4 linked regions of the Callithrix jacchus genome follow. The protein of the gene in region 2 binds, or shares a complex with, the protein of the main gene of each other region. Links are inferred from orthologs where the notes say so. Each region holds a gene or a part of one and is shown on either strand. Other genes may lie near its edges. The genes, in order: TMEM186, TMEM126B, ACAD9 and ECSIT.

The links.
Region 1: TMEM126B (region 2) and TMEM186 share a complex: the UniProt entries of both Homo sapiens proteins name them as parts of the mitochondrial complex. The link is inferred for Callithrix jacchus from reciprocal best matches to the Homo sapiens genes TMEM126B and TMEM186.
Region 3: TMEM126B (region 2) and ACAD9 share a complex: the UniProt entries of both Homo sapiens proteins name them as parts of the mitochondrial complex. The link is inferred for Callithrix jacchus from reciprocal best matches to the Homo sapiens genes TMEM126B and ACAD9.
Region 4: TMEM126B (region 2) and ECSIT share a complex: the UniProt entries of both Homo sapiens proteins name them as parts of the mitochondrial complex. The link is inferred for Callithrix jacchus from reciprocal best matches to the Homo sapiens genes TMEM126B and ECSIT.

Annotation. Positions count from the first base shown.
Region 1 is NC_133513.1:11,043,814-11,051,511, reverse strand, and holds TMEM186 (transmembrane protein 186), read left to right. Parts: upstream 1-3,151; 5' UTR 3,152-3,176; coding exon 3,177-3,179; intron 3,180-4,208; coding exon 4,209-4,850; 3' UTR 4,851-7,139; downstream 7,140-7,698. Other genes in the region: PMM2 (phosphomannomutase 2), read right to left, coding at 2,847-2,912. UniProt on the Homo sapiens protein: As part of the MCIA complex, required for efficient assembly of the mitochondrial complex I.
Region 2 is NC_133511.1:54,663,433-54,671,338, reverse strand, and holds the start of TMEM126B (complex I assembly factor TMEM126B, mitochondrial), read left to right. Parts: upstream 1-3,850; 5' UTR 3,851-3,863; coding exon 3,864-3,941; exon of another isoform or gene 3,942-6,704; coding exon 6,705-6,826; exon of another isoform or gene 6,827-7,906. Other genes in the region: DLG2 (disks large homolog 2), read right to left, coding at 1,863-1,881. UniProt on the Homo sapiens protein: As part of the MCIA complex, involved in the assembly of the mitochondrial complex I. Participates in constructing the membrane arm of complex I.
Region 3 is NC_133516.1:73,259,454-73,266,559, forward strand, and holds part of ACAD9 (complex I assembly factor ACAD9, mitochondrial), read right to left. Parts: intron 5,671-7,106; coding exon 5,597-5,670; intron 4,418-5,596; coding exon 4,342-4,417; intron 3,000-4,341; coding exon 2,929-2,999; intron 2,678-2,928; coding exon 2,558-2,677; intron 885-2,557; coding exon 756-884; intron 1-755. UniProt on the Homo sapiens protein: As part of the MCIA complex, primarily participates in the assembly of the mitochondrial complex I and therefore plays a role in oxidative phosphorylation.
Region 4 is NC_133523.1:10,665,537-10,673,347, forward strand, and holds the start of ECSIT (evolutionarily conserved signaling intermediate in Toll pathway, mitochondrial), read right to left. Parts: upstream 5,089-7,811; 5' UTR 5,004-5,088; intron 1-5,003.

The sequences.
Region 1 (7,698 bases), on a different chromosome or scaffold from region 2:
ACAGTGGAATCTGGACCTATTGGACAAAATCTAGGAGTAGTCTTTAAGACTCAGAATGTAGTGGCTCATGTCTGTAATCCCAGCACTTTGGGAGGCAGAGGTGGGCAGATCAACCGGGTTAGGAAATAGAGACCAGCCTGGCCAACATGGTGAAACCCTGTCTCTACTAAAAATACAAAAATTAGATGGCCATGGTGGCCCTCACCTGTAGTCCCAGCTACTTGGGAGGCTGAGGCTGGAGAATCACTTGAACCTGGGAGGCAGAGGTTGCAGTGAACCAAGATCGTGCCACTGCAATCTAGCCTGGGCAACAGAGCTAGACTCCCTCTCAAAAAAAAAAAAAAAAAAAAAGTTAGAACTGTGAAAATCAGAAGCACGTTCCTGAATGGCATACCCACTGACTAGCACAGCTTCCACCTTAGCACGGACAGGAATTGGCAAAGTTGACAAGAACCAATGTCCTGAGGCCCAGGGACTTGTATAAGGTCGGCTATGTAAAACTGAGGAGGTTGGTCTTCACTGGGTCTGTTTCCTTATGTTTACAATAGTAATAACTATTCTACCTGGGAAGAAAGATGGAGGAAGGCTGAGAGGGTCCAGTGATACCAAGAAAAAGAGTCGGCAATGTAAATCCTAGACCACAACGGCCCACAGACCAAATTGGGAAGCTGTTGGTTTTTGTAACAAATAAAATTTTATTGCTCCTGCCTCAGCCTCCCAAGTAGCTGGGATTACAGGCACCTGCCACCACGCCCAGCTCCTGCCCCAACCTCCCAAGTAGCTGGGATTACAGGCACCTGCTGCCACGCCCAGCTCCTGCCCCAGCCTCCCAAGAAGCTGGGATTACTGGCACCTGCCATCATGCCTGGCTAATTTCTGTATTTTTAGTAGAAACAGAGTTTTGCCATGTTGGCCAGCCTAGTTTTTATAGGGTTTATGGCTGGTTGTGCACTGAAGCTGAGTGGTTACTATAGGCCATATGGTCTGCAAAGACAAAAGGATCCGCTATATAAAAATGAATCAGGGACTGCAGTTTTAAACCACTATGGGCTTTTTTGAGAGGGTGTCTCCCTCAGTTTCCCAACCTGGCATGATCTTGGCTCACTGCAATCTCCACCTCCTAGGTTCAAGCAATTCTCTTGCCTCAGCCTCCCTAGTAGCTGGGACTACAGGCGCATGCGGCCACACCTAACTTTTTGTAATTTTTTTTTCTTTTTTTTTTTAGTAGAGACGGGTTTCACCATGTTGCCTAGGCTGGTCGTGAACTCCTAAGCTCAGGCAATCTACCCACCTCAGCCACCAAAAGTGCTGAGACTACAGGCGTGAGCCACCCTGTCCGGCCTGCACTATGGGCTTTTAACAACACACAAGTGTGTGACTGCTGAATCTCAGTCAGTAAAAGCCGTTGAGGAACTTGGGAGTTGAGTGTCAGCACTAGGTGGATCAAACCTGTGACTGAGAAGTGCAACTGATGTCTAAGGTCATGGGCATTTGACGTGGACTTCTGGAGCACACCACCATTACCACCAGCGAAAAACTACGAGGGATGAGGGTAGAAAGTGAGGACAGTGAGGCCACTAGGGTCCAGTCTCAAGTTCAAATGGCCGGTGTGCAGTGACCAATTTCTGAAAAGGGGACAGAAGAGCCTCATCTCAAGGGTGATTGTAACTGAAACTTATCTGTGCCTGCAGCAGCAATATCTGGAAGTGGAAAGCACGTTTCCAAGGCCCTAAAGTGGGTCTCAGCAGGCAGCCTTTAATAACCTAGGGGTCCTCCATTTCCCGAGTCCACTGCAGGGGCTGGAGATGGGTGCGGTGGAGGTGGCTGTTTATTGAAGCCTAGTGTGTTATGTGCAATATAATTTCAAGAATTTATGTAATCTCATCTGAACCTCACAGACACCATATGGCACAGGGGGTAATATCCCCATTTAAAGCTGAAGATGAGGTCAGGCGTGGTGGCTCATGCCTGTAATCCCAGCACTTTGGGAGGCTGACGCGAGTGATCACCTGAGGTCAGGAATTTGAGACCAGTCTGGTCCACATGGTGAAACCCTGTCTCTACTAAAAATATAAAAATTAGCATGGCGTGGTGGCAGGTGCCTGTAATCCCAGCTACTTGGGAAGCTGAGGCAGGACCCGGGCGTGGCGGCAGGTGCCTGTAATCCCAGCTACTTGGGAGGCTGAGGTAGGACCCGGGCGTGGCGGTAGGTGCGTGTAATTCCAGCTACTTCGGAGGCTGAGGCAGGAGAATTGCTTGAACCTGTGAGGCGGAGGTTACAGCAGTGAGCCGAGGTCGCCCCATTGCACTCTAGCCTGGGAGACAAAAGCGAAAACTCCTATAAAAAAAAAAAAAAAAGCTGTAGATGCTGAAGCTCAGAGACATTAATGACTTGCTCAAGGTCACACAGCTGTCAAGAGGTGAAGACGAGACTCCACTAGGTCGGTTTGACCTGGAAACCTTTTAAAAATATTATTCACGGCACAGCTCATTGGTTACAGGACTGAGAATGTCTGTAACATAGCTGAAAAGGGGGCTTGATCTCGGGTACAAATCCTGGTCCAACAGTCCCGAGGACCAGCCGTGAATCCAGATTGCATTTTCCGACCCAGCACAAGTTTCTTGCTCTTAGGAGTTCTTCAGCCCCGTCTCATCTCTCCAAGCACCAAGAGCTCTTGAAGAGCTGGTCAGAGCTTCACTCTCATTCCTCCAGGACACCCCGAGTAGGGTTCAGCCCCCATGAACACTTCTGCGGTCCTCAGCTACCCCTTGGCGCCCACCCTGGGTGGTCGATAACTTCAACTGGGAACAGCACGGGCTCCGTCTCGGCTGCTACCGCCACTTACCTGCCGCGGAGCGGTGAGGGTCCCATCCACGTCGAAGAGGCAGAGCGCTGGGCCGGGACCTGCCATATCCCCAGTTTCTAGCTGCTCCTGACGAGACTCGTTGGCACCAGGAGCTCAGCCCGGAACTTCCGGGTTCGGCCCCCGAGCTGCAGGGCACGTCGGGAAGAGGAGACTCTGTTCCCACAATGCCTGGGACTAGCGCCAGCCACGATTCCTGGACCGCAACTCCCAGAGTGCAACGCGGTCACGCCCGCCTTGTACGTTCGAGCATGCCCTCTTAGAGGTTCCGGGGACCGGTGGCATTTACTTCCGGCAGCAGGCGGTGGGACAATGGTAAGGAGGCGGGTGACGAGCCTTGTTTTGGGGATCGGGGTCAGAGCTGGGGCAGGCAGACAAGACGCCCTACTGTCGGACTCGGAGAATCCCTAGTAGGAGGCTTCAGCGTGGGTTACAGTTCGCCATTCCCCCGGCTTTCTCTGACCTCCTTGGGTCACGTGCGCAGCAGTAGTACTCGCTAAAACTGGCCAGGCTCTCACAGTGCATCAGGTACTAAGTTGAGGGCTCTAAACCATCTTCTGGTTCACTGTGTTCTGAGTCCCCATTTTGAAAGGTGAAGAAACGGAAGCTCAGGGGTGTGAAGGAAGTAATTTGCTCAAGAATCCACAGGCAGTGACTGTTGGAGCCAGAACCGGAACCAGAACTTTTACTGCCTCGTTACTCACCTAATAATATCCTTGTGCTATGTGTTGGGGCCTTCCTGCTTCTCTCCTCCTCCTCTGCTATTTCTGCTTCCCCAGACTAGGCTAAGAAAGCAGCAGTTTCCTCTAGCACCCAAGATGACATATAAATCAAACAGAATTGGAAAGTTATTGGGATAAATATTTCACAGATTTGTTGCTCAAGTTCCCCACTAAGACACTGATTATTTAGTATCCTGCTTGGGGAAATGTTCACAACCCCTTTTGGATCCATTGTCCAGCCCAGAGTTGGTCCTGCCTAGATAGGTTGTGAGTTAATGAAGGCTGTACCTCTTTTCCTATATTTATTTGGAATTGCCTGGTGAAAAGAGGCCCGGTTTGAGAGTCGGACTCTGCTGCACTCACTGACTATGTTTGGGTAAACATCTTACCCTCTCTGGGCTTAGTTTCCCTAGTGGTAAAGTGGAAATAGGGATACCTATCTTAGGTAGCTGTTGTGTTGCTCACATGAGGTAGCATCTGGCTTTACCCTTTCCTTCTCTGGCAATAATGGTGACCTTGCAGGATTGGCAAAAGCCTTGGAGTGAGATGCTTTGCAGATGTTTACCGTGTGATTAATGTGGTTGAGTTCCATAAGAGAAATGGTCTACTATCTCCCTTTCAGGCTGCCCTTCTCCGAGCTGTGCCTAGGTTTCCAGGAAAAACTGCATGGGGACGGCCTCTCCATGGGCTGTGGTGGTGCTGCAGTGGGCAGGAGGATCCTAAGAGGTGGCTGGGGAGCACGTCACCCACCTCAAAGGAGAAACCACCAGACACAGAGACTGAGAAATTCCGGATGTTTTACCGTTTTGATGCCATCAGATCCTTCGGGTACCTGTCTCGACTGAAGTTGGCACAGACTGCCCTGACAGTGATAGCTTTGCCACCAGGCTATTACTGGTACTCCCAGGGCCTCCTGACTCTCAAGTCCCTTTGCATCATGAATGGGGTGTCATGCTTTGCTCTGGCCATGCTCTGCTGGATGAGCTATTTCCTTCGGAGACTGGTTGGCATCCTGTATCTGAACGAGTCTGGCACCATACTGCGGGTGGCCCACCTGAACTTCTGGGGCTGGCGGCAGGACACATACTGTCCCGTGGAAGATGTGATACCCCTGACAGAAACCAAGGACTGCCCTGAGGAGCTGTTCATGCGTATCCAGCAGTACAGTGGGAAACAGACCTTCTACCTTACCCTACGCCACGGACGCATCCTGGACAAAGAGTGTTTCACACAGGTGTTTGGGGCGCTGCAGATATTCAAGTAAACAACTGGGAGCTGGACCTCTGGGTAATTCTGGGTTGCCTGGATTGACAGGAAGGCCGAGGGTGTGCGCAAGATTGAAGAAAGGGGATTGAGTACTTGGAGACTTTCCTGGGCCCCTGGGAACATGTGTTTTGTGATGTAGAAATTTACAAGGTGAGATTTGGTGTCCAGGTTTAGGAAAAAGGCTCTAAATGCAAGTTCTTTTTTTTTCTTTTCATTTTTTGAGATGGAGTTCGTTCTTTTCCCCAAGCTGGAGTGGTGTGAACTCAGCTTATTCAGTCTCCGCCTTCCAGGTTCAAGCGCTTCTCCCACCTCAGCCTCCCGAGTAGCTGGGACTACAGGTGCTCGCCACCACACCTGGCTAACTTTTTTGGTATTTTTAGTAGAGACGGGGTTTCATTATGTTGGCCAGGCTGGTCTCAAATTCCTGACCTCTTGATCCATCTGCCTCGGCCTCCCAAAGTGCAGGGATTACAGGTGTAAGCCACCGCACCCGGCTAAGTGCAAGTTCTGATAGCACTTGTGTGTGACATTCAGTCAGATAATGGCTGGAGGTTTCTGTTAGGAGCCAGTTATTAAAGGAACCTATGCCAAGGTCACCCAGACAGTCCATTGCTGTGAAATGGGAAGGCAAAGAGGTGTGGCAGGGGAGTGTAGAATTTGGAGCCAGAAGTCTCAGTTCTGTTACTTGTCCTGGCAAAGAGGTTATTGAGCCTCTTTGAACCTCCATCTATAAAATGGAAAGTCTTCTTGTTGCATGGGATGGGTGTGGGAATAAACAATAAATGTCAAAATTTTTGCGGACTCAACAGCCCAGAGCAGATATTAAGCATTTGTATAGAGGTTTCAGCATGGAGAAAGACTTTGAGCAGTCACTAGCGACATCCAGAACTCTGTGCTGTGCCCCCTCACATGTCCAGCGGCAGAAGGGACTACCAGAAGGGACTGTTAACTACACATCAATGAGCAGAGATGTCATCCAGGTGAGCACAAAACCCCACCCAGAGGTCTAGAGACTCTTGCTTTGGATGGCCCTGCAGTGTAATAAAGCCAGATGGACGTATGCTGGTACACTGTTTTATAAACTAAAGCCAGTTATATACACTGCTCTGCATAATTAATAATATGTTCATTATACAATCCGTAACACAGTCAAGAGGAAGGAAGGCGCGACCTTTATGATTTCGCCACTCAAAAGTCAGTAACAATATTTTATTGTATAGCCTTTCATTTTTCTTAACCATAGCAAGATACACCTAACAAATATATCTTTTTTGTTATTTTGAGAAGGAGTTTCGTTATTGTTGCCCAGGCTGGAGTGCAATGGCAAGATCTTGGCTTACCACAACCTCTGCCTCCAGGGTTCAAACAATTCTCCTGCCTCAGCCTCCCAAGTAGCTGGGGTTACAGGCATGAGCCACCACGCCTGGCTAATTTTGTATTTTGAGTAGAGACAGGGTTTCTCCATGTTGGTCAGGTTGGTCTCAAACCTCCGACCTCAGGTGATCCGCCTGCCTTGACCTCTCAAAGTGCTGGGGTTACAGGCATCAGCCACTGCACCCGGCCTTTCACTGTGATGCTTCTATCCTGTGCTTGCATCTTGCCTCACTCGCCAGTCTGTTTTGACAGCAGTCAAAGCGATCCTTAAAAATACAATCACCTCACTGTGCTATGAAGGTTGATGGCCTAATCCACCCTCCCCTTTCCTCCCTCATCCGCAACTCTGTGGAGATCATTTCCCCAGGTCACGCTGGCCTTGCTGTTCTCCAGTAATCAAGGATGATCCAGCCTCAAAGTCTTTGCATTGACAGTTCGTCTGCCTGGAAAGCTTTCTCCCTGGATACCTGCAAAGAGAACTAACTGCCTTCCATTCAGTGTCTTCCCTGTATAACAGGTTGTACTATTTATGCTCAAGAAGTATGGTGAAGATTCAATTATATAGAAGAGACGCGTACACAGCAGTTACACATGGCTGTTCGTTCCTTCTATACTTCACCTTCACCTGCCTGTCAGTTCCTTCAGTGACTGTGAATCTTTTTCCCATGAAGATATATAGCCTGTGGCTAAAAAATGTCTTAAGAATTCCTAATGATTTCACCTTAACCTCATTGAAACCAGAAATTCTCTCTTTGTTGGGCTAGTTGTGAGAAATGACGTGAGTGAGTCCCACCCTGGGATATTCTGATTATGTCTGGGGTAGGTCCCCAGGATTTATCTTTTTGACCCACTTGAAGCCAATTCTGAGATTTAGGCAGGCTGGGAATTTCTGAAATAAACAACTAGAACAGAAGACACCAGAGTGTTATGTGCTTCTGTGAACTTTGTGTTCCTGGGCCAATTTTCTGCCTAAAGAATAGGTTCTTAACACTGGCTTATTTGTAGAATCTCCTGGAGAGTGTTTTTAAAACCCCATTGTCGAAGCTCATGACCAGGCATTTCCATTTTCACGGTTCCCTGGGTGATTCTAATATGCAGCCAGGATTGACCATCGCTGCCCCTGAAGTCTCACCACACTCTTAAGTCACCACGCTGTTAAGTCTACAAGGGCTTGTCTTGGGAGGTGAGATGCCAGATTCTCACTCCTGCAGGTATTCCATGTGCGGTCTGCTCATGCAGTACCAGCAGAGCGCACACAGAGCAAACGCATTGTTTCAACCCCTTATCCCTGAGCTAAAATCACACATCTCCACCAAGGACAGGAAATGTGTTAGGGCTTCTGTCATGTACCAGTTAGGGTAGTACCTGAGAGCTGCCCCCAAACAACTAAAGTCAACCACATAAGCAGTAAAAGTCCAGGCACAGTGGCTCACGCCTGTAATCCCAACACTTTGGGAGGCCGAGGTGGACAG
Region 2 (7,906 bases):
AACTTGTTGATTCCTTAAGAAATTCAATCCATCAGTCAACCCATTAGTGAGGAAGGAAAAGAAGAAGAAAAAAAGAAGGGAGGTGAAGGAAAAGAAAAAGAAGGGAAGAGAGGAAATTCTTCTAAATTGTTATAATTTCAGCAATGTATAAGCAATTTCTGTAACAGTTTTTTGAAGGGAAGAATTTCTAAGAAACTCAGTCTATGGGGTTTAGAAACCGTAAGTTCTAAGCTTCCTAATTAACCTGCTTAGTTAAGTTATACTTAGAATATCAATTGAGCTTCCTCTTCCTCCTTCCCACATACCTTTTTATCCTTTATCCCTCTCTCTGCTTCCCCCTTCCCATTCTCTCTCCCTCTCACTCTTTTCCTCTCTCTCTCTCACTCTCTCTCTCTCTCTCTCTCTCTCTCACACACACACACACACACACACACACACACAATGTATTTAATTTCATTATTAGTTCAAATTAAGGTAATACAGAAGAAACTCTCTACAGAAATGGTAGAAAGAATAAAAACACACATCAAGTTAAATAAGTCAAAGAGCCGTATCATTTATTGGCTACATTCCCAAAACCATTCTTGTTGTAGATAAACCAATTCTGTCTGATCTGAACAGGTGTGGCTTCAAAATCTCAGAGAGAGTTTACTTCTGTCACTGGTACTATTAGAAACAGCAGGGAGAGGAAACAGTCCCAATCTTAAATCTCAGTGTGCAAAAATCACAATTCTAGGTGTTCCAAAATTTTATATAACATTGTCCGTCTCTACAAACTTGGATAAGGCATCTCAGTGATTATAATTTTTCTCAACATCCCTAACAAATCCACAGGTAGAAGAATTAAACAATATGCAGACATAAGTTTTACTTTACCCAACAATTCACCCAGAGCTTTAGTTTCATATTGAACCAACTCATGTAACTGGACAACATTTGGATCTGTATTAGCCCAGTGCAGCAGAGTTCAAAGATGTTCATATAAATGTTGATTCAAAACTCTTGAGAAACTCTTTACATTTGATCTCATCTTTCATATCGGATCAAAACAAAACAAAATTAAAATACCACCAAACTGCTAAATTGGTTTGGCAAACAAGTCCCAAACTAGAATCCTTTCGAACTAAGTTAACCTGGAGTACATCTAAGCTAAATTGAATTCCCAAGGTCGGATTATAATCAACTATGCTTTAGGAATTCACTAGATCTTGATCAATTCAAATAATAAAAGTTGTTGAGGAGGAAGGAAAAAAAATTGGTGTTCACCCCATTTGGGGAACTTGCCAGTCATGTTATTGGATAATGCATGTATCTGGAAAAGCGCAATAGTCATGGAAGTTGTGTTTTATCATAAAAGTAAAGATTTACACTAAAATAAATCCAAATAAGAAGTCTATTGTTTAACCAAAAGATAAATGATAAAGCTATAATTTTGTTCAGTGCAAACTAAATTACTTTGCTATCTTTCTCAACTCTGTAATTAGCTTGATAAACATTAAACCCATAAGGAAGAGCTCCACTGTACAAGTTTCTTTTTTAAAGACTGCTTAAAAGTAACCTTTAACAAGCTAAGAAAACCAGCTAAAGAAGATTCCAAATCTGCGGTAATAAATCTATTCTTATTACAAATGGTAATATAAACAACCTGATTTATGAATTTAAATGTCTATCAATAAATACTATACTCCTACTTCCTTTTACTTTAGCAAAATATTACTGAATGATGTACCAATGAAACTGTATTACAATAAACATTAGCCCCAACTGAAGAAAAACTTTACTCTCAAATGGAATATAATTTAAATTACAAGTACCAGAACCAAGAAAAGGGAGAAATATTATATAGGAACCTCATAGCCCACCTTTCTTCTTGACTGGCATTCTTGGGTCTTTTCACTGCCACAGGATTCAAGATCTCTTTTCAAGTCTCAGTTTGATCCAACTGGATTGAGGCCAAGAGCCAGGTAACTGTTGCAAAACACTTCACTGATCAGTTTTGAAATCCAGGCTGAGTCTTCTATGTCAGACAAAGAAAATAATGATGTATTTTTCCCACAACTAAACTTCATACACTGCCCAGAGTTTGCAGAAAAGTAATTTTTGAGTTTTTCAAGTTTTTCAATTTTTAGACTGTTTTTAAAAACTGGGAAAATTATTGTAAACATAAAAAACGTTACTGAAATTCCTCTTCACTCAGCAACATTTTTGGAAGTTCAATAACTAACTCAATTAAGGCACAAACCAAATTTACACAGCTGTCTCATTACTTTATACATGGTCAAATTCAAAGATGATGATAAGCATCCCCAAATCTGTAGAGAAAAATTTAACCCCCACCTCCCAAAAAATACTTTTAAAAACCTCTTTGACTCCAGTCTCTAAAAAGGTAGGTGAGTTTGAACAGCTTTCTGGGGCAGAACACACACTGAAAGGCCCCCTTCTATTTACTGATCAGAAGTTTCAGATCTCACCCTCTCAGTAACTCAGGATCCAGCCTGCTGTCACTTTCATTTTTTTCTTCTGTGCTCTCCAAGCCCCCAGGCTTGATCCTTTAATGCCCCTCTGATTCTGATCCTCCCATGTATTAACCAAGAGGATTGAAAAAAAGGAAAGCAATCCCTTGGCATGGAGACATTAAAGTGACAGTGCTACTCAATGGGCACTTGATGCAGGATGAGTTGGCGAAGGAGACTTCTTCACACTGGAGTCATTCACATTATGCCATCTCTTCGCATACAAGCAGCTCCCTATCCGGCAAGGAAAAACACTGAAACTTCAAGAGAAGCCAAACCTTCTCCCAGAGGTGTTTTCAGAGACGCCGTAGTAGTATTAGACATGTAAGCATAAGCTATGCAAACGGTCCGCGATTTCCTAAATGAGAAAGTGCAGCTGCTTGGTTTTCACATCCACCTTTTCTCTCAATCTCTCTTCAAACTACCCACCTTCCTTTTGCAGAAAAGACAGGACATTTCTCTGACACCGCTGGCCACCCCTGCCCAAGCCCCGTTCTTTTAGGGAAGAGCACTGAAATGTCCTGCACCCTTCACGCGATGAAGTGTTTCCTCAGGCAGGAGCAACAGCAGCACTAGAAATTATATAACTCTCGAATTTGGCTTTTCTAAGATATGGAGACTGGAGGGTCGGGGGTTGCCGGTCTGGGAGATACTGCTGGGCATTTAAGCGCACAAAATAGCGTCAGGCCTTGCAGTGCCCCCTACCCCAAGACACGGCTGACAAACGGGTCTTCTCGGGGGGTAGGGAGCAAATTTCTCTACGGTCTCTTTCCAAGCGGGGCTTAAGCATGGAAATGAGGGGACTACAGACTGGGGAGAGGAGTCAGACGGCTGAGAGGGGAGGAGGCTAGTCGGGGCTGCTTTGACGGCATTCGGCTGCTGGTTGGGGGTTTTGAGGAGGAGGTGCCCGAGAAGCAGAGCTTTAACACACAGGCCAGGTCAAAGGGGCGAGTTCCCTCAAGGACTGAAAGGGGCAGGCAGCTAGTTCCCAGCTAACAGAGCTGCCCTGAGGAGAGGCAGGAGCGCAGCAACATTCCAAAATTCGGGCCGCCCCATCTTACCCGCAGGACGCGGGGAGAGGCGGTAGCTAGACTGACAAATAGCAAGAGGAGGAAATACTCGGCTGGCGAGCGGGGCGGGCCCGCAGGCATCTGGACCTCTTCTAAGCAAATGAGTGGCCGTAATTTCCAGATTCCGCGCCCAATCACAGTCAGGATGGAGGGCGCGGCTTTTGACTGAGTGGGGGCCGGCCCGGGCTGCAAGCGAGACGCGTGAGCCGTAAATCAGCACCACTTCCCTCCCAGGGCGTTCTGGGTCCCCGCCCCCTTGCAAGTCACGTGAGTCATCAAAATGGCGGCGCTCGGGTATGAGGCTGGGGCTAAGTTGGATTCAGGTGTGGAGCCGGTGGGAGCTGAGGAAGCGCCCAAGGTAGGCGGAAACCCGAAGTGGTATAGTGGGGGTGATTTCTGCAGCTTCAAAGTGTTGGCAGACTCTTCTAAGATGATACATGTAAAGGAGATTTGAAACGTTAAAGAACACAGCTCCCAAGTCCATGCAAGGAGCAGTCGATTTAAGTCTCCAGTTGCTGTGGAAAGAGGCGGAGAGAACGTAGAAGACCTAAAGTCAAGTCCTCATTATCTGCAGTTTGTTTTCTCTTGTCTCCAGGTCTTTGCAAAGGCCTTTTCTTCAACTTGGAATATTTTCCTGCTTCTATCCATCCCAACTCCTGTGGCAAATTGTTCTCTTTCGGGCATTGGTTTAAATGCCACTTCCTCGGGGAAGCCTTCCCATGCTTCCTCTGGCTAGATCGTTTGCCTTTTCTTGGTTTGTTGGGTTTTTTGTTTATGTCGCTCTCTCATTCTGCGTTTAAATTGTTCTAAACCCTCACTACATTGTGGATTCCCAAGGATGGGATTACCGGGAGGCCTGGCATATACCAGGTACTCCCTAAATGATGAGCGAACATTCAATGAAATTCTAAAGTTTAGGTGAAATAATAAACCTGAAAGCACTACAAAACCGTCAAATGCTTTGCAAACTATAAACCTACATATATGCAGTCTTACTGGTATAAATGTGGTGATTAGTTGAGTGGCCTTAAAAGGGGAGGGGTGTAATGAAAGCAGTTGATCTTCGACAGTGCCTTGGAAAGCTTAAGCACTTAATAAATATTTCCTGTGTTGTTTTCAGCATTTAGTATTTGCTGTCCTGTAATCATAATCCTGGGTGTTTTCCCTATAGAGATTTTAGGGTGTAGACTAGGTAGGAGATTAGTAGAGGATGTTGCCTGAAAGTTTGTTTTGTTTTTCGTTTTTGGTGGGAGGTGGGGGACTTCAATGAATTGGATGAGAGCAAAACAAAAATTTATCTAAGGTTTATGGTTACTCATGTTATTGGCATCTGCCCTTTTAGTACAATAGATGGGTTAGGTATACAACCTCCCTTAGATGTTACTATCTCTTATACTTTACATTTGGGTGTCAGGGAGAGGCAAAAGATTAAGTCTAGTCCCTGAAAATTTGTAATCTGTAAAATATTTTACCTTTTTTCCCCCTGCCCTCTCCAGAAATGTTACAGAAAAAGATCGAGTACAGTTGTGCAATGATGCAGAGAAAGAAACTGGTCCATTATTACTCCCTGTGTAACACCATGAGAAAGTTCAAAGGAGCCCATACCTTCTGTATGTTGATGCCAGGAGCAGGAGCTGTGGATAATTAGCTGGCCCTTCTATAGTTAGGACTGGAACATACTGCTCATTCAGCAAATGAGTATTACAGTGATATTCAACGTATGTCCATTGACTACAGCATCAGAAACCCTTGGTGCTATTAAAATGGAGAGTCTAGGCCTCATTCTACTGTTACGGAATCCAGTTATCTCAGGAGGGAGTTCATGAGACTGCATTTCAAATAAATACGCCACATGATTCTTGTGCATGCTGAAGGTTGAGAACCACTGATTTATTAAGTATCTTCTGTGTTCATTATGCTTCATCCACTCTAATTCTCTTGCCTAGGACTCCTTAAATTTGAGATTTAGTATTTGCCTTTAATATAAACATTAAAATTGGGATTAGTGTAAATTTGTGAAGAGGCTGTTTGGCTAATCCAGATGAAAAAGAGTAAGAAGCAGTGAACTTAGCATCAATAGACCTTCCACTTGCTGCTGTAGTAGGTAAACATTTGCAGCCACATGTTTGGATTTAACAAATGTTATTAAGACTTCACAGAGACCGTAGAGTCTTGCCCAGAGCAAAACTTCAGAAAGGATCCTGTCTGAGAGTGCAGGGTTTGCTTTTTTGTTGTTTTGTTTTTTAACCTCTCTAGTTTCTGTTAAGATGCTACTGGCCAAATCTTCATGGTCCCTTGACATTGGCAGCTGTCTATTTATCACACTTAGGACACAAGAACCTTACAACCGAGGAGCCCAGTGCCATGGGCCTCTGCTCTGGCACATGCCCATTTCTCACAAAGGCTCTGCTTCCACCACAGATGCTAATAGGGAACGGGATATATAATTTATGTACTCCAAAGTAGTAGCCACCATCCACTGCCTGTTCCCTTTCTGGAGCAGTGCCCCTCTTTCTGATTTTCTCTCTCGCTGTTCTCCAAGGCAATCCCTGCTCTCTGCTACCTCTCCAGGAAATACAGCACTATTTCCAAAATAAGCGCAGTCTTTCATGAGAAACTGGGGATAAAGATGTCAATAAGCAGCCACTGTTTCCACTTCCCCACCTGAAGAACTAGGACAACTACAAAGGGCCTGACTACCTTCTTGGAATCAGGAGAGGAGAAAACTAAGGAAAACAGAAACAGTATCAGTATGTCATTCTTCTACACTAAATCTTAAGGCAAGCGAACCTTTCAGAACCTCAGTTTTCTCATCTGTATAGAGATAATCATCATACTACCAATTTCTTGGGTTAGTGTGTGAATCAGAAAGCCAGTATCTGTGCATTGTAGGGTGTTTAGCAAGAAAAAATATATATAACAAAAAGCCAGTGTCTAACAGATAATAAGAACTCACTAAATATTGATTGAATTATTAACATAAAGTATGTGAAAGCAGCTGACATAGTACCTGGCACACTACTAAACTATAAATGTTTTTAAATCTGAATCTATAAATTCTGTAAGGAATTATTAATATTAACATCATTAGCTATTATGGCTCTGGAATTTTCTTTTCCAGGATGTCAAGATGACAGCATATATGCATGGTCAGCCGAGTCCTTTTCTAGAAGACGCAAAACTCAGAAGACCAATGATCATAGAAATCATAGAAAAAAAATATGAATGTCTTAAAAAAGAAATGTAAGAGAAATACCCAGGCTGAAAGTCAGTCATTTTATTTGCAAGTTTTTTATATTGCCGTTGTTTCTGAGATCCAATTCTTTGTTATTTATTCTGTTATCTAAGATTCTGTTCTTTGTGTTGGTTATGAAGAACACATCTTTTAAAAAAAGAATGGGGAAAACAAGAAGAGATGAAAATAGTGGTTTGTTGGAATATTTGGGTTTGTGGATAATTTCTTTTGTTTCTTAAAAGTATCCAAAAGTATTGCTAAAACATTTATGTACTAAATATATTTTAATTAAAAGTAATTAGGAGAAAATCCTTTGGGGGGGCTTATATTTAATTGGTGAATAATTATAATCAGTTTAGGATTGATTATCTCAGTCACAGTACTTAGTACAGCAAAAGGGAATACAGATTCCGTGGTATAAATACAGTGTCACATTACCATTTTGACTTTCTTTTTTTTTTGAAATGGAGTCTCATTCTGTCACCCAGGCTGGAGTACAGTGGTGCGATCTGGGCTCACCACAATCTCCATCTCCTGGGTTCAGGTGATTTTCTTGCCTCAGCCTCCTAAGTAGCTGGGATTACAGGCATGTACTACTACTACCACACAGCTAACTTTTGTATTTTTAGTAGAGATTGTTTCACCATGTTGGCCAAACTGGCCATTTGGACTTTTAAATGAACAGAGTTCAATAATAAAATCAAAGGACAATTGATCTTAGTTTCTGGATTTAGGTATGGGTTTTGTTTTTTTTTTTTCTTTTTGAGATGGAGTCTTGCTCTGTCACCCAGACTGGAGTGCACCGCAGTCTCTGCTCACTGCAGCCTCTGCCTCCTGGGTTCAAGCGATTCTGCCTCAGCCTTCTGAGTAGCTGGGAATACAGGTGCATGCCACCACGCCTGACTAATGTTTTGTGTTTTTAGTAGAGATGGGGTTTCTCGGTGTTAGCCAGGTTGGTCTTGATCTCCTGACCTCATGATCCACTCTCCTCTGCCTCCCAAAGTGCTAGGATTACAGGCGTGAACCACCGCGCTCGGCCATAGCTATGGGTCTTAATAAGAAAACTAGATCAGATTTTTTTAGATGAA
Region 3 (7,106 bases), on a different chromosome or scaffold from region 2:
ATCCCTGCAACTCACTCTCCACATGAGGCCCTGGAGGGATTTCCCACAACACAGATACAACCAAATAATGCCCTGCTTAAAGATGTTTTATGGCTTCCAAATTTCTCTGCTGTCAGTCAAGGTCTTCCACAGTCTGGCTGCTTTTCTAGCCTTCCCATGCACCTTCTGCTACCCCCAAAACCCACTGTCTGGCATAGCACACCTAGCAGGACTGACTGCTGCTCCCAGAAAGTCCCTCTCTCTCTCTTCATTCACCTTGTGCCAGCAGATCAGTCTCATCTGGGCCTGGCGCACTCTATTTCCCTACCCTTCAGAACACATTGCCCTGCCCGCCCCCCAGCCCTTGTCAAAGCCCCTTCTTTCTGCCCCTAAGGGCCAGGAACACGCGCTGCAGAAAACTCTGGCTGCCTCTGGAGGATGCCCACTCCCTGCCTCTTTGTACTTGCACTCTGTCATCTCCTTTGGTCAGCACAATCAGAACACAGCACCCAAAGTCTCTGTGGCCTAATTCCCTCCTCTACCACCTGGCACGTGCTAACTGAACCAACTCTTCAGTCTTGTGACTTCATGGAGGGCAGCAACTGGGAATGAGACATGCCAGGGCTAGCAGAGCCCTTGAGAGCCAATCAGAGCATGCAATCCAGCCCTGGGCTGTGGGGACCACTTCGGAGACCTCTGCAAGGCCCTGAGCAGCTTCTTTAGGACCAGGCAAGGTGGGGGTGGAGAACAGCCTAGCTGGTAGCAGGGCCACTCACCTCGAAGATGAGGAGGATGCGGGTGTCGCGCAGCATGCGCTCGTACACAGAGTCCCTCATGTAGCCCAAGCCCCCAAAGATCTGCAGCGCCTCATTCACACACTGCCAGGCAGCCTCAGAGCTGAATACCTGTGGGCCCAGGGCAAGGTCAGCACGGGATGTCACACTGATTCCCTTCCAAAAGGAGGACCTATGCTACAGGGATCTGGGTGGCTGGGGAGGCATGGGAGGCACCCAGACTTGGGGAGGACATCAGCCAGGGAGGAACTCGAGGGGTGATGTGGGCAAGTCCTTTGCCTTCCTTGACCACACTGGCCAGCTTGTGATCCCCACCCCACCATGATCTTCTGGGCCCACCTTCACCCCTCTGTACCTGGCTGAGCTCCTCTTTCTTTAAAACCCATTTAACATCTTCCCTTCCCCAGAAAGCCTGACCTGTTCCTGCCCAGCCCTGGTGGCATGACTTCCTTCTGTCTCCGCACACTATGAGCACCTTGGGGGCAGACATACTGCCATATTAAGCTCTAGGCTTAGCATATGGAAGAGGCTGGCCCACAGCAAGCTAATGTCTGTGGTCACTGTTCATGGGTGACAAGACGACGAGGTGATACAACACATGCAAATGCACCCAGTATGCAGGCTGCAATGAGAAAAGACTCAAATGCCACCCAAGATGCCCAACCTTTTTTTAAAAATTTTTTTATTTTTTTTAGGGACCTTCCCACTTCAGGATCCCAACCTTATAGGTAGACTCACCTGCTGATACCAGAATGTTCACTTCTCTAAACTGCTATACCTCTCACCATTTCTCTCAGGAGCTCAATTCCAGCTTAAAAACAATTGTTGGGGGCACCAAAGTAGGGTCCCCCAAAGGGTAGCCATCTTTTTTACACAGCGAAAAATGATACCCTCCACCGTGAACAAAACAAAAGCAACAGAAAACTCTAGTATCTACCTCAACCAAATAAGATAATCTTCCCACCTCAGCCTCCCAAGTACAGGTGTGTACCACCACGACAGCTGATTTTTGTATTTTTTTGTAGAGATGGAGTTTTGCCATGTTGCCCAGGCTCGTATACTTAGTTGTTTTTTTTTTTTTTTTTGAGATGGAGTTCACTCTTGTTGCCCAGGCTGGAGTGCAGTGGCACGACCTCGGCTCACTGCAACCTCTGCTCCCTGGGTTCAAGCGATTCTCCTGCCTCAGCCTTCCAAGTGGCTGGGACTACAGGTGCCCGCCACCTTGCCCGGCTATTTTTTTCTATTTTTAGTAGAGATGGGGTTTCATCATGTTGGCCAGGCTGGTCTCGAACTCTAGACCTCTGTGATCCACCCACTTCAGCCTCCAAAAGTGCTGGGATTATAGGCGTGAGCCACCATGCCTTGCCATATATTTAGTTTTTAAGAGGACGTTTTGAAACCAAAAAGTAGGAAGGCCATAAATTAAGGAAAAAAGTTCTTCTCACAAAAGCCAGCTGCAATGTTATTATTCTAAAAGGACGTTAACAGAATGGTCTCCTTCTGCTATAAACTGCTGATCCACTGGCAAAAGCTTGGTAGAAACTGCACTGTGGGAGCATGGAGCCTTCCTACAAACTGCTGCTCACCAGTCACTTCCCTGCTGCTGCAGCTCCCCGCCCACTGCCTGTCTATCCCTGGAGTGCTGCACAGGGCTAGTGCATCATAAATACTGGATCAATGACAGGAGGAAGATGATAGGCAACAGCATAGGCTTGAAAGGTCACAGTGAGGGAGCTTTCCCAAGCCTCCCTCCAGCGCCAGCTCTCTGGCTATGCCACTGTTACCTTCACCATGGCCGCCTCAATGGAGCAGTCGGGAAAGCCCGGTTGGTCTAGCATCCCTGCTGTGAGGTAGGTCATACTCTCCATGGCATAAGCCTTCTGAGCCATCAGTGCAAACTTCTCCTGGAGTATTCAGAAAAAAACACAAGAAGCAATTTGCATGTGCTGAGAGCCAAATCTTCAGAACAGGAGAGAAGGTAATTAAGTCAGAATCCTGAATGCCCAAGAAAAGCAAGCCCAGCGACCCTTGTTAAATAAAGCCTTAACTAGTCTTCTTCCCAAATCACCACAGAAGAGTCACCAGTACAGACATCAAAAGAACACAGTCATGTCACACAGTGAAATCCACAAAGACAGCACTCAACTGTCTATACCTGAATCAATCCAAATTCGCTGAGTCTCTTGTTAAACTGTTTCCTTGTGCAGGCATACTCAGCAGTCATTTCTGAGGAAGAGCAGAGTCATTAGAAAGAACTGGAACTTTTGTTATTGAAACATAATTTCCTATGGCCATCATCCTTACCCTTCCCACAGGCAGGCACTATGAGAAGCATGTCTGCTGAGATCAAATGCCCCAGAAGCTAGTAACTCCACTTGTCAGCACCCATGGGTCAGAGGAGAACCACCCCTCCTAATGGAATCTACAGTTTAGCATCAGATACAGACTTGAATCCTGGCAATGGTTCTTACAGCCAGTGGCCTGGGCCAAGCATGTCACCTCCCTGAAGATGCAACCAGGTGGAAGGCAGAAGGCTCCTCACACAAAGCCAGGCACAGAAGCCCCAGAGAGAGGCGGTGCAGGCCCAAACCCAGCGCACAGTGCTCCTGACCAAAGCAGGTGGGGCTGCCCGGCTTGAATACTCAGGCTGGGACTTCCAGGCATGTGGTTGTGACCAAGTGCTGAGCTCTGAGGGCCCATGAATTAGATGGCGCCTCTCCCAGGCAGAAGCACCTCACCACCACCACCTGCCGCCCGTAGCTATGTTCTCCACAGGCTCTCCCAGGTGTGGCGCACTCAGGAGGTGAACAGGGCTGAGTTCCCCAGAGGACTTGCAAGTGAGAAAAGCCCTGAGCCTGGAGCCTGAGAGCTTTAGTTTTGGGTCCAGTTGCCCTCTCTGAGCCTCTGTCTTCTCATCTCTAAAATGGAGGTAAACCAAAACAAGTATGCCCATCTTGGCCCAAAAGAGGCCGGCCCAGAGCCTGGCATCCAAAGAGGAGCTTCATAAAGCACTTAGGGATGTGCCATCCCAGGCATTCCCATTTCCTCACAGATGCTTCCACAACAGACAGGATGGTTACAGGGTTGTTCTAAGCTCACTGGCAAAGGAAAATGGAGGTTTCAGGTATCCTGACAGAACAGAACAAAAAAAGATCCAGAGGCCCAGGGACCTGGGTTCCAAACCACTCCCCACACACCATGCAGTCACTGAGGCAGCGTGAACCTTGGGCACCAGAGGCCATGTGTCCTGGGAGCCTGGCTCATGGTACGTGCTTACCAAGCAGCTCTGCCCCTATTCCTCTCGCGCCAGACAGAAAGCCCCTTCCCCCATCCCCATCCCGTGTGGAAGTGAAACAGAGGAATTCGAAGATAACCAATTCAGGGGCAGGCTGAGGAGACCCTCTGGTCTCCACAAAAGCCCATGGACGGAGCTCAGGCTAGACCCTCAGTGGAGGTGGCCTAGTTCAGCACCAGCCTGGAAGTGGCCGGGGGAATGGCAGAGCCTCCAGGGATGGAGCCGGGGCAGCAGGAAGTGGAACACAAAGGGTCTTGTCCCTGACTTACCTACCAATCAATCTCTTGAGCATCCCAGCCACAGCGCTGCCCATACTGAACCGGCCACTGTTGAGGATGTCCATGGCCACCTGCAGGGAGAAAGGGAGAGCCCAGGGGCCCTGAAGGAGGCAGGGGGAGGAGGCCATAACCACACGTCTACCTTTACCAGACCAGGCAAACGGATCAGCTTGCCTTCCCTCGGGCTGGGAGAAAGCACTGTCCTAACATCTCGGAACTAAGTAGTTCACTCACAGTTGCAGCTCTACCAATGTCCCCGCACACAAGAAAGACCACTGAACGTTATTCCAAAGGAACATGCCAGAGCTGGGCATGGTGGCTCCCACCTGTAGTACCAGCATTTTGGGAGGCCAAGGCAGGAGGATCACTTGAACCCAGGAGTTCCAGACTAACTTGGGCCCACTAGAAATTCTACATTTAGGTATAAAGCAAAATAACTGAAAACATATTTCCACACAAAAACTTGACATGAATGTTCATTATTGATAGCAGCCAAAAGTGCTAACAACCCAATGCCCATCAGCTGGTGAATGGATGAACAAAATGTGCTATCTCCACTCAACAAAAGATAATTTAGCCATAAAAGGAATGAATTACTTATTCATGCTACAAGAGAGATGAACCTTGAAAACATCACACTATGTGAGAGAAGCCTGTCACCAAAGACTGGATCTTGCATATGACTGTATTTCTATGAAATGTTCCGAACATGCAAATCCATAAGGACATAAAGTAAAAGAGTAGCAGCCAAGGGATGGGTAAGGGTCTTACTGGACAGTACAACGTTTCTTTATAGGATAAGGGAATGTTCTGCAATTAGGCACAGGAAGTATTTGAACAACATAGTGAATATACTAAAAACCACTGAAATACACGTTTTAAAATGGTGAGTCCTTTGTTATATGAATCATCTCTTGATAAAAATATTTCATTTTAGTCTAAAAAGAAGAGTAGGGCAGGGAGGGAGATACACAGCTTGAGCTTCACCAGAGCCCACGGGTTTCTTTCTCACACCCGCTGTGGAAGGGGATCCTAGACTCTGCTCGAGGTGAAGAAAGATTCCCAACTTTACCACATACTCCTCCTAGGAGCCAGCCAATTTTCCAGTCTCCATTTCTGACTTCCCAACAGATAACCATGCAAAGTCACCTGTCAAGCACAGGCTGCTCTGCTACAAGCAAGGATGGGGCAAAAGCTGGGGGCCGACAAGTCGCGCTTGAGACACTACACAGTACTGGCTGGCAACTCACCTTAAACCCACCTCCGACCTCTCCAAGGACGTTTTCCACAGGTACCTTGGTGTCTTCAAAATGGACTTCGCAGGCTGAAACACATGAAATTTAAGATCTCATCTGACAATGCAAACCACTCTGCATTTGACCTGCAAAAGCAGGCAATTCATCCATCCGCCCGTCCGTCCAACATTTGGTAGGAGAGTATAGAAAGACAAAGTTCCTGCCTTTGTGGAGTTCATACTTTGGTTAGGGAGATAAACTATAAACAAAACAATGTAATATTGTCATCAGTGCAATGGATGAAATAAACAGGGAAACACGGTAAGGAGAAATGGAGGTTGGCAAGGGGATGGATAATATTTTTACTAAGGGCTATGTCAGACTTTTGTAAGGTGGCATTTAGCAGAAGTTTAAAAAATGAAAAGAGCCAGGCATATAAAGAGCCAGAACAAGCAAAGCGAGGGAGAGAACAGCATTTCCTAGGGTCTCAGGGTAGACTGAGACCACTGGTGTCAATTCTTAACTCTAACACAACCACACCCCTGCAATCTAACTGTAGCACTCTCCCACTGTGGGGAGGGGTAGACCTCCCTCCCGTTCCCTGTCGGCTAGGTATGACCATGTGACTTGCTGTGGCCACTGGAATAGAGCTGAGTCAACACAAACAGAGGGCTTAAATGTGCTTTTAGGGTCGGGTGTGGTGGCTCATGCCTCTAAAGCCAGCATTTTGGGAGGCAGAGGTGGGAGGATCACTTGAACCCAGGTGTTCAAGACCAGCCTGACAACATAGCAAAACCTCTATTTAAAAAAAAAAAAAAAAAAAAAAAAAAGGTGGCCAGGCACAGTGACTCACACCTGTAATCCTAGCACTCTGGGAGGCTGAGGTGGATAGATTGCACCTGAGCTCAGAAATTTGATACAAGCCTGGGCAACATGGTGAAACCCTGTCTCTACAAAAAACACAAAAATTGGTCAGGTGTGGTGGTACACACCTATAGTCCCAACTACTTGGGAAGGTGAGGCAGGAGAATTGCTGGAACCCAGGAGGCAGAGGTTGCAGTGAGATGAGATCACATCACTGCACTCCAGCCTGGGTGACAGAGGGAGAATCTGTCTCCTCCGACAAAAAAGTACTTATATGGTTTGGCTTGGCCCCTTGGGTCTGCTTAAGAATAAGCCTCCAGATGGACCTAAATCCAACCCACAGCCTGAAGCAGGCTGCCAGGCACCTGCAGACTGAGACAACTCAAGGCTGGGGGCTGTAAGCTGAGCTCTAAGGTGGTCTGTCCACAAGGGCTGCCACAGTAGGAGATGACCACCAGGCCTTCAAGTGAGCAGCACTTGGCTGTGGGAACAAAGACAAAGCCCATGTGGCACTCTTAATTTGATCTTTAAAATGCTTAACAAAAACTGAAAGTATTTAAATCTCATTTTGTCTTGCTATTTGGACAGAGTCAAAGACCAGTCTCTCCCTCCCTCCCTCTCTCTCTCTCTCTCTCTCTCACACACACACACACACACACAC
Region 4 (7,811 bases), on a different chromosome or scaffold from region 2:
ACGCCTGTAATCCCAGCACTTTGGGAGGCTGAGGCAGGTGGATCACTTGAGGTCAGGAGTTTGAGATCAGCCTGACCAACATGGTGAAATGCTGTTCTAACAATGCAAAAATCAGCCAGGCGTGCTAGTATGGGCCTGTCATCCCTGCTACTTAGGAGGCAGGGGAATGGTTTGAACCCAGGATGTAGAGGTTACACTGAGCCGAGATCGCACTACTGCACTCCAGCCTGGGCAACAGAGCAAAACTCCATCAAAAAAAATATATAATAAAATAATTAAAAACAAACAAATAAAAATAAATATTAGTCTGTAGTTTTTTTTGTAGTGGCTGTTTGGTTTTGGTATCAGGGTAATGCTGGTCTCAAAGAATAAGCTTCAAAAGGGTTGAATCATTTTTATCACCATTTAAACCTCCACTGGCATCTTTATCACATTTCCTCCTCAGCACTCCACTCTAACCACAGTCTTTGCTGTTCCCAGTGCCAAAAGTGTTCTCCAGATATCCAGATGGCTCACTCACTTCCTCCAGGCCTTTACTCAAAGGCCACCTCATTGAGGCCATCCTGTTTATTTATTTACTGAGACAGAGTCTCGGCTCTGTCACCCAGGCTGAAGTGCAGTGGTGCAATCTCAGCTCACTGCAGCCTCCACCTCCCAGGTTCAAGCAATTCTCCTGCCTCAACCGCCTGAGTAGCTGAGATTACAGGCACAAGCCATGTCTGGCTAGTTTTTGTATTTTCAGTAGAGACTGGGATTCACTATGCTGGTCAGACTGGGCTGGAACTCCTGACCTCAGGTGATCCACCCTCCTTGACCTCCCAAAGTGCTGGGATTACAGGCATGAGCCACTGTGCCCAGCCCCATCTTTTTTTTTTTTTTTTTTTTTGAGACAAGGCCTCACTCTGTCACCCAGGCTTGAGTGCAGTGACGCAATCTCGGCTTACTGCAACCTCGGCCTCCTGGGTTCAAGCGATTTTCATGCCTTAGCCTCCCGAGTAGCTCGGAGTACAGGCACGCATCATCACACCTGGTTAATTTTTTTATATTTTCAGTAGAGACAAGGTTCTACCATGTTGGCCAGGCTGTGCATCTCCCATCTTGACTCAAAGTCTCCCTCCAGCTTTTGCTTCACATCTTTGAACCACTGACTGATTTATTTATTTGAGACAGGGTCTCAATCACTCTGTCATCCAGGCTGGAGCACGGTGTTATGATCATGGCTCACTGCAGCCTCAAACTCGTGCTCACATCCACTGTCTCAGCCTCCCAAGTAGCTGAGACTACCTGTATACGCGACCGTGCCCAGCTAAGTTGTTCAATTTTTTGTAGAAACTGGGTTTCACCATGTTGCCTACGCTGGTCTTGAACTCTTGGCCTCAAACGATATTCCCACCTCAGCCTCTCAAAGTGCTGGGATTACAGGAATGAGCCACCACATTGGACCTTGGTGCCCTTTATAGTAAAGCTTCTTCCAAGAGGTGTCTATACACTATGGCTCCTTCCCGATTCTCCAACTTGGCTGCTGCCCCAACCACTTTGTAAAGACCCCTTGAGCACAACTGCAGTCCTAGCTAACTGGGAGACTGAGGCAGAAGGATGTTTTGTTTTGAGACATGGTCTCATTCAGTCACCCAGGCTGGAGTGCAGTGGCATGATCTTGGCTCACTGCAACCTCCATCTCCTGGGTTCAAGCGAGTCTCTTGCCTCAGCCTCCCAAGTAACTGGGACTACAGGTGTGCGCCACCATACCCAGCTCACTTTTTATATGCTCTAGTGATTCTTAAACTTTGTTCATGTTAGAATCATCTAGGGAGCTTTAAAAAATGCCCATGCTGGCTGGGTATGGTGGCTCACACCTATAATCCCAGCACTTTGGGAGGCCAAGACGGGTGGAACACCTGAGGTCAGGAGTTCGAAACCAGCCTGGCCAACGTTGTAAAACCCCATCTCTACTAAAAATACAAAAATTAGCTGGGTATGGTGGCAGGCGCCTGTAATCCCGGCTACTCAGGAGGGTGAGTCAGGAGCCTCCCAAAGTGCTGGGATTACAGGCATAAGCCACTGCTCCCGGCCCGAATCTGTATTTTAACAAAAGTCCCTGCTATCTCCTATGAGCATTAAAGTTTGAGAAGTGGTGATCTGTGTGCAGATGGCTCCCCAATGTTAATCTCAATCACTGGGGCCCAGCCTCTACACCTAACTGCCACTTTGGCATATACCCACCCATCTCAAACATAATTTGCTCCAAACTGATATCCTTGCTTCAACTTGATCTTCTCCCTCCTAGCCAATTGCACCACCACTGCTAGCCATTCACTACTACTAGCCATTCAAGCCATAAGCCTATGAGTCGTTTCTGAGTCCACTATGTCCCTCACTCTCCCATTCAACCCATCAGCTAGTCTGGGTGACCACTTCCAAATCCATCCCAAATGCACCTCTTTCTATCTGAACCCACTGCCTCAATATATGACTTGGAGACCTACCAAGCCTCCCACTTCTGCCCTTCCTGCCTCCAGTCAGTTCTCCCCACTATGGCCAGAGGAAGCTTTTTTTTTTTGGAGAAAGAGTCTCGCTCTGTTGCCCAGGCTGGAGTGAAGCGGCATGATCTCAGCTCATTGCAACCTCTACCTCTCTCGTTCAAGTGATTCTCATACCTCAGCCTCCTCACTAGCTGGGACTATAGGTGTGTACCACCACAGCCAGCTAATTTTTTGTATTTTAGTAGAAATGGGGTTTCACCATGTTGCCCAGGGTAGTCTCAAACTCCTGAGCTCTAACAGTCCACCCATCTTGGCCTCCCAAAGTGCTAGAATTACAGGCATGAGCCACGGCACCCAGCCAGAGGGAGCTCTTAAACTAAAATTAGTGATTTCACATTTAAAATCAGGAACTGGGCACATTGGCTCATGCCTGTAATCCCAGCACTTTGGGAGTCCAAGGCAGGTGAATCACGGGGTCAGGAGTTCAAGACCAGCCTGTCCAACATGATGAAACCCCGTCTCTACTAAAAATACAAAAATTAGCCAGGCATGATAATGGCACACGCCTGTAATCCCAGCTACTCAGAAGGCTGAGGCACAAGAATCCCTTGAACCCGGGAAGCAGAAGTTGCAGTGAGCCGATACTGTATCAATGCACTCCAGCAAAGGCAACAGAGAGAGACTTTGTCTAAAAAAAAAAAAAAAAAAAAAAAACTATCCAGGCATGGTGGCGAATGCCTGTCATCCCAGGTACTGAAGAGACTGAGACTGGAGGATCCTTTAAGGTCAGTAGTTCGAGGTTGCAGTGAACCATGATTGCACTTGTGATTAGCCATTGCACTCTAGCCTGGGCAACATACTGAAATCCTATCTCTAAAAATAAATAGGGGCCAGGCACAGTGGCTCACACCTGTAATCCCAGCACTTTGGGAGGTCGAGACGGGTGGATCACAAGGTCAGGAGTTCAAGAGCAGCCTGGCCAACATGGTGAAACCCCATCTCTACTAAAAATACGAAAAATTAGCCAGGTGTGATGGCAGGCACCTGTAATCCCAGCTACTCAGGAAGCTGAGGCAGGAGAATCACTTGAACCCAGGAGGTGGAGGTTACAGTGTGCCAAGATCGCACCAGTGCACTCCAGCCCCGGGCAACAGAGTAAGACTCCATCTCAAAAATAAATAGGCCAGGAACAGTGGCTAATGCCCATAATCCTAGTGCTTTGGAAGGCCAAGTGGAGAGGATCACTTGGGCCCAGGAGTCCAAGACCAGCCTGGGCAACATAGCAGAACATGATCTTTACAAAAATTGTTTTAAAAACTTAGCCGGACCTGGTAGTGTGCACCTGTAGTCCCAGCTATATAGTCTCCTGAGGCAGGAGAATCACTTGAGCTGTGGAGTTCAAGGCTGCAGTGAAGTATGATTGCATCACTGTACTCCAGGCTTGGCGAGGAAATGATATCCTGTCTCTAAAAAATAAAAATAAATAAATAAGACAGGGTGTACCCCTCCAAACTCAACTCCTACCACTGGCAGCTTCAGCTACCCTGTCTCTGAAAGAAACTAAGTTTATCCCATCTCAGAACCTTTGCACTTGCTTTTCTCTCTGTCTAGAGCTTTTTTCCTCCACATCTGTCCACAGCTGTCTGCAGTCATTTCAGTGAAAGATCTTCTTTGACCCTCATTAATGCATTCTTTTTTTTTTTTTTTTTTTTTCCTGAGACAGAGTCCCGCTCTGTCGCCCAGGATGGAGTGCAGTGGCACAATCACGGCTCACTACAGCCTCGACCTCCTAGGCTCAAGCAGTCCTCCCACCTAAGCTTCCCGAGTAGCTAGAACTACAGGCAAGCACCACTATGCCCGGGTAATTTTTTGATTTTTTGTAGAGAACAGAGTCTTGCTACGTTGCCAAGGCTGGTCTGGAACTCCTGGGCTCAAGCGATCTTCCTGACTCGATTAATGTATTTTTAGCAACGATCAGTATCTAAAATCACCTGTTTCTTTTATTTCTAATTTGTTCAAAGTCTGGTTCCCCTAAGAGATGAGAGATTTTTATCTATCTTCCTCATTGCTGTCTGTCCAGCACCCAGGACAGTGCCTGGTATATGGTAGGTGCCTAACAAATATCAATCGAACGGAAACAGCTCAAGTTCAACAAAACACCTGTAAATCTGAACCCCGAGGTAGGGTGTAGGTACAGCAGCTCTGAAGCCGGCTGCCAGGATTCTGGATCTCCTGGGGGAAATAGGGAGACATGGATTCCAATTCCTGCCAGGCTGCCGACTTGACGCGTGATCTGAGGCGAGAACTTTAATCTGAGTCAGCTGTTTCATCTGCAAAACGGGAGACTGGGGGCGTGTGGCGGGTGGCCTTTCCCAGCGCGTCCCCACCCCCACTACGAAAGGTCACGGTGCCCTGGCTCTGCAGCTGGGTCCCTCCGGGACTGCTCTCTCGCGCTGCCGGGTCCTGAGGGGCCCGCCTGGAGCCCAGCAATTCGGGTTCGCCTACCTGCTCGGGACCTACCTACTCAGGCGGTCAGCCGCTGACTCCAGGCCGGATCTGTCTTCTTGCTGGGCGCCGCCATGTTGGCCCAGAGAGCGTCCGGGTCAGGGGCCGCAAGGGAGGCAGCAAATCAAGAAAGGCGGTATAATAGATCCCGCCCACAACGCTAGAAGCGCCAATAGGAAGGCGAAGGACCTTGGGCCAGGCCCCACCTCTAAGGAGGTAAGACGCACTCCAGGCCTGGGAACCTTGAAATGGCCCGGGAGGCTGGACTTGGGATGTCTATGAATCCAGCCGCGCGGCTGAAATGAGAAAATGAACTATTAAAGGTTAAAGGGGGCGGCAAGGTGGCTCATACCTGTAATCCCAACACTTCGGGAGGCCAGGAGTTCGAGACCAGCCTAGGCAATATAGCTAGACCCCTTATCTGCAAAAAATTTAAAAATTAACTGGGCATGATGGTGCCTGCTTGTAGTCCCAGCTATTCGGGAGGCTGAAGCGGGAGGATCGCTTGAGCCCTGGAGGTTGAGGATACAGCAAGCCAGGATTGCACCCCTGCTCTCCAGCGTGAGCAGCAGAGTGAGACCCTGTTTCTAAAAATAGTAATAATAAATAGGGCCAAGCACGTTGGTTCACGCCTATAATCCCAGCACTTTGGGCGGCCAAGGCAGGCGAGTCACATGAGGTCAGGAGTTCAAGACCAACCTGACTAACGTGGTGAAACCCCATCTCTACTAAAAATACAAAGTTAGCAGCGTATGGTGGTGGGTGCCTGTAATCTCAGCTATTTGGGAGGCTGAAGCAGGAGAATCGCTTGAACCTAGGAGATGGGGGTTGCAGTGAGCCAAGATCACACCACTGCACTCCAACCTCAGAGACAAAGTGAAATTCCATCTCAAAAAATAAATAAATAAATAAATAACAATAATTAGCAGGGTGTGGTGGTGTGCTCCTGTGATCCCAGCTACTCTGGACGCTGAGGCACAAGAATTGCTTGAACCCAGGAAGTGGAGGTGCAGTGAGCCGAGATTGTGCCACTGCACTCCAGCCTGGGCAACAGGGTGAGACTCTGTCTCAATAAATAAATACATAAATAAATAGGATGGCCTCAATGAGATGGCCTTTGAGTAAAGGCCTGGAGGAAGTGAGTGAGTCATCTGGATATCTGGGAAACGGTTTTGGCACTAGGAACAGCAAAGACTCTGTGTGGTTAGAGTGGAGTCACTGAGGAAGAAATGTGATAAAACGAGATGAGATTGAGTAGTGGGAGCTCCTTGTCTCGCCCAGAAAGAGACAGCTTTCAGCTGTTAATAACTAAGGTGGATAAGCACATACATAAGGGTATTGGCAATAGCAGTGGCCCCAGGGAAGGAAGGTTATCTGCCCTCATAATCCCATTTCTGCAGTCCCTCAGCCTCTGTGGCAAAGCGAGGTGGCAAGGGGGCTAGGATGCAAGAACCTACCCTTAAGATGCCTCAAGGACTCTGCGCAGTCGCAGCACATCCGCCTCATCAGAACTCCTGTGATTGGGCGATCTCAGAAGACATGTAGCCAATCAGCTGCTTGGCTGGAGCACTTCTCCCTGGCAAATTGACAGGCACGTGGGGAGCGACTGGGCGCCCTACTGCCCTCTGCCAGACTCCTGAAGCTACAAACAGGCAGGCAGCTCTGCTTAGCTGGGGAGTGGGTAAGATGATGGAGTTGCTGACCTCTGTGGCCTTCAGAATTCCTGGTGTCCTTCTCTTGAGGTGGTCATAGCTCTTGTTCCTTTTTTTTAATTTATTTTTTAGAACTAGTCTTTTTATTATTATTATTTTTGGAGATGGAGTCTGACTCTGTCACCCAGGTTAGAGTGCAGTCGTGCAATCTCGGCTCACTGCAACTTCCGCCTCCTGCGTTCAAGCAGTTCTGCTTTAGCCTCCGGGGTAGCTGGGATTACAGGCACGCACCACCACACCTGGCTAATTTTTGTATTTTTAGTAGAGACGGAGTTTCATCGTGTTGCCCAAGCTGGTCTCAAACTCTTGGGCTCGAGTGATCCTCCTGCTTTAGCCTCCCAAAGGGCTGGGATTACAGGCATTCGCCACCATGCCCAATCATTATTATTATTTTTTTTTTCTGAGACAGAGTCTTGCTTTGTTGCCCAGGCTGGAGTGCAGTGGCATAATCTCAGCTCACTGCAACCTCTGTCTCCCGGGTTCAAGAGATTCTGCTGCCTCAGCCTCCAAGTAGCTGAGATTACAGGCACACACCACCATAACCAGCTAATTTTTATGTTCTTAGTAGAGATGGGGTTTCACCATGTTGGCCAGGCTGGTCTCAAACTCTTAACCTCATGAGCCATCTGACTTGACCTCCCAAAGTGTTGAGATTATAGGCATGAGCCACCGTGCCCAGCTATTATTATTATTTTAAAATAGAAATGGGGTCTCACTATGTTACCAAGGTTTGTCTCAAACTCTTGGGGTCCACTGATCCCCTGTCTTGGCCTTCTAAAGTGCTGGGATTACAAGCATGAGCTACCACACCAGGCCGGTAGTCTTTTTAAAAACGAGTATGGCCGGGTGCGGTGGCTCACGCCTGTAATCCCAGCACTTTGGGAGGCCAATGCAGGTGGATCACGAGGTCAAGGGGTCAAGACCATCCTGGCCAACATGATGAAACCCCATCTCTACTAAAAAAAATACAAAAATTAGCTGGGCATGGTGGTGTGCACCTGTAGTCCCAGCTACTTGGGAGGCTGAGGCAGGAGAATTGCTCGAATCCGGGAGGCAGAGGTTGCAGTGAACCGAGATCGTGCCACTGTACTCCAGCCTGGGCAACAAGGTC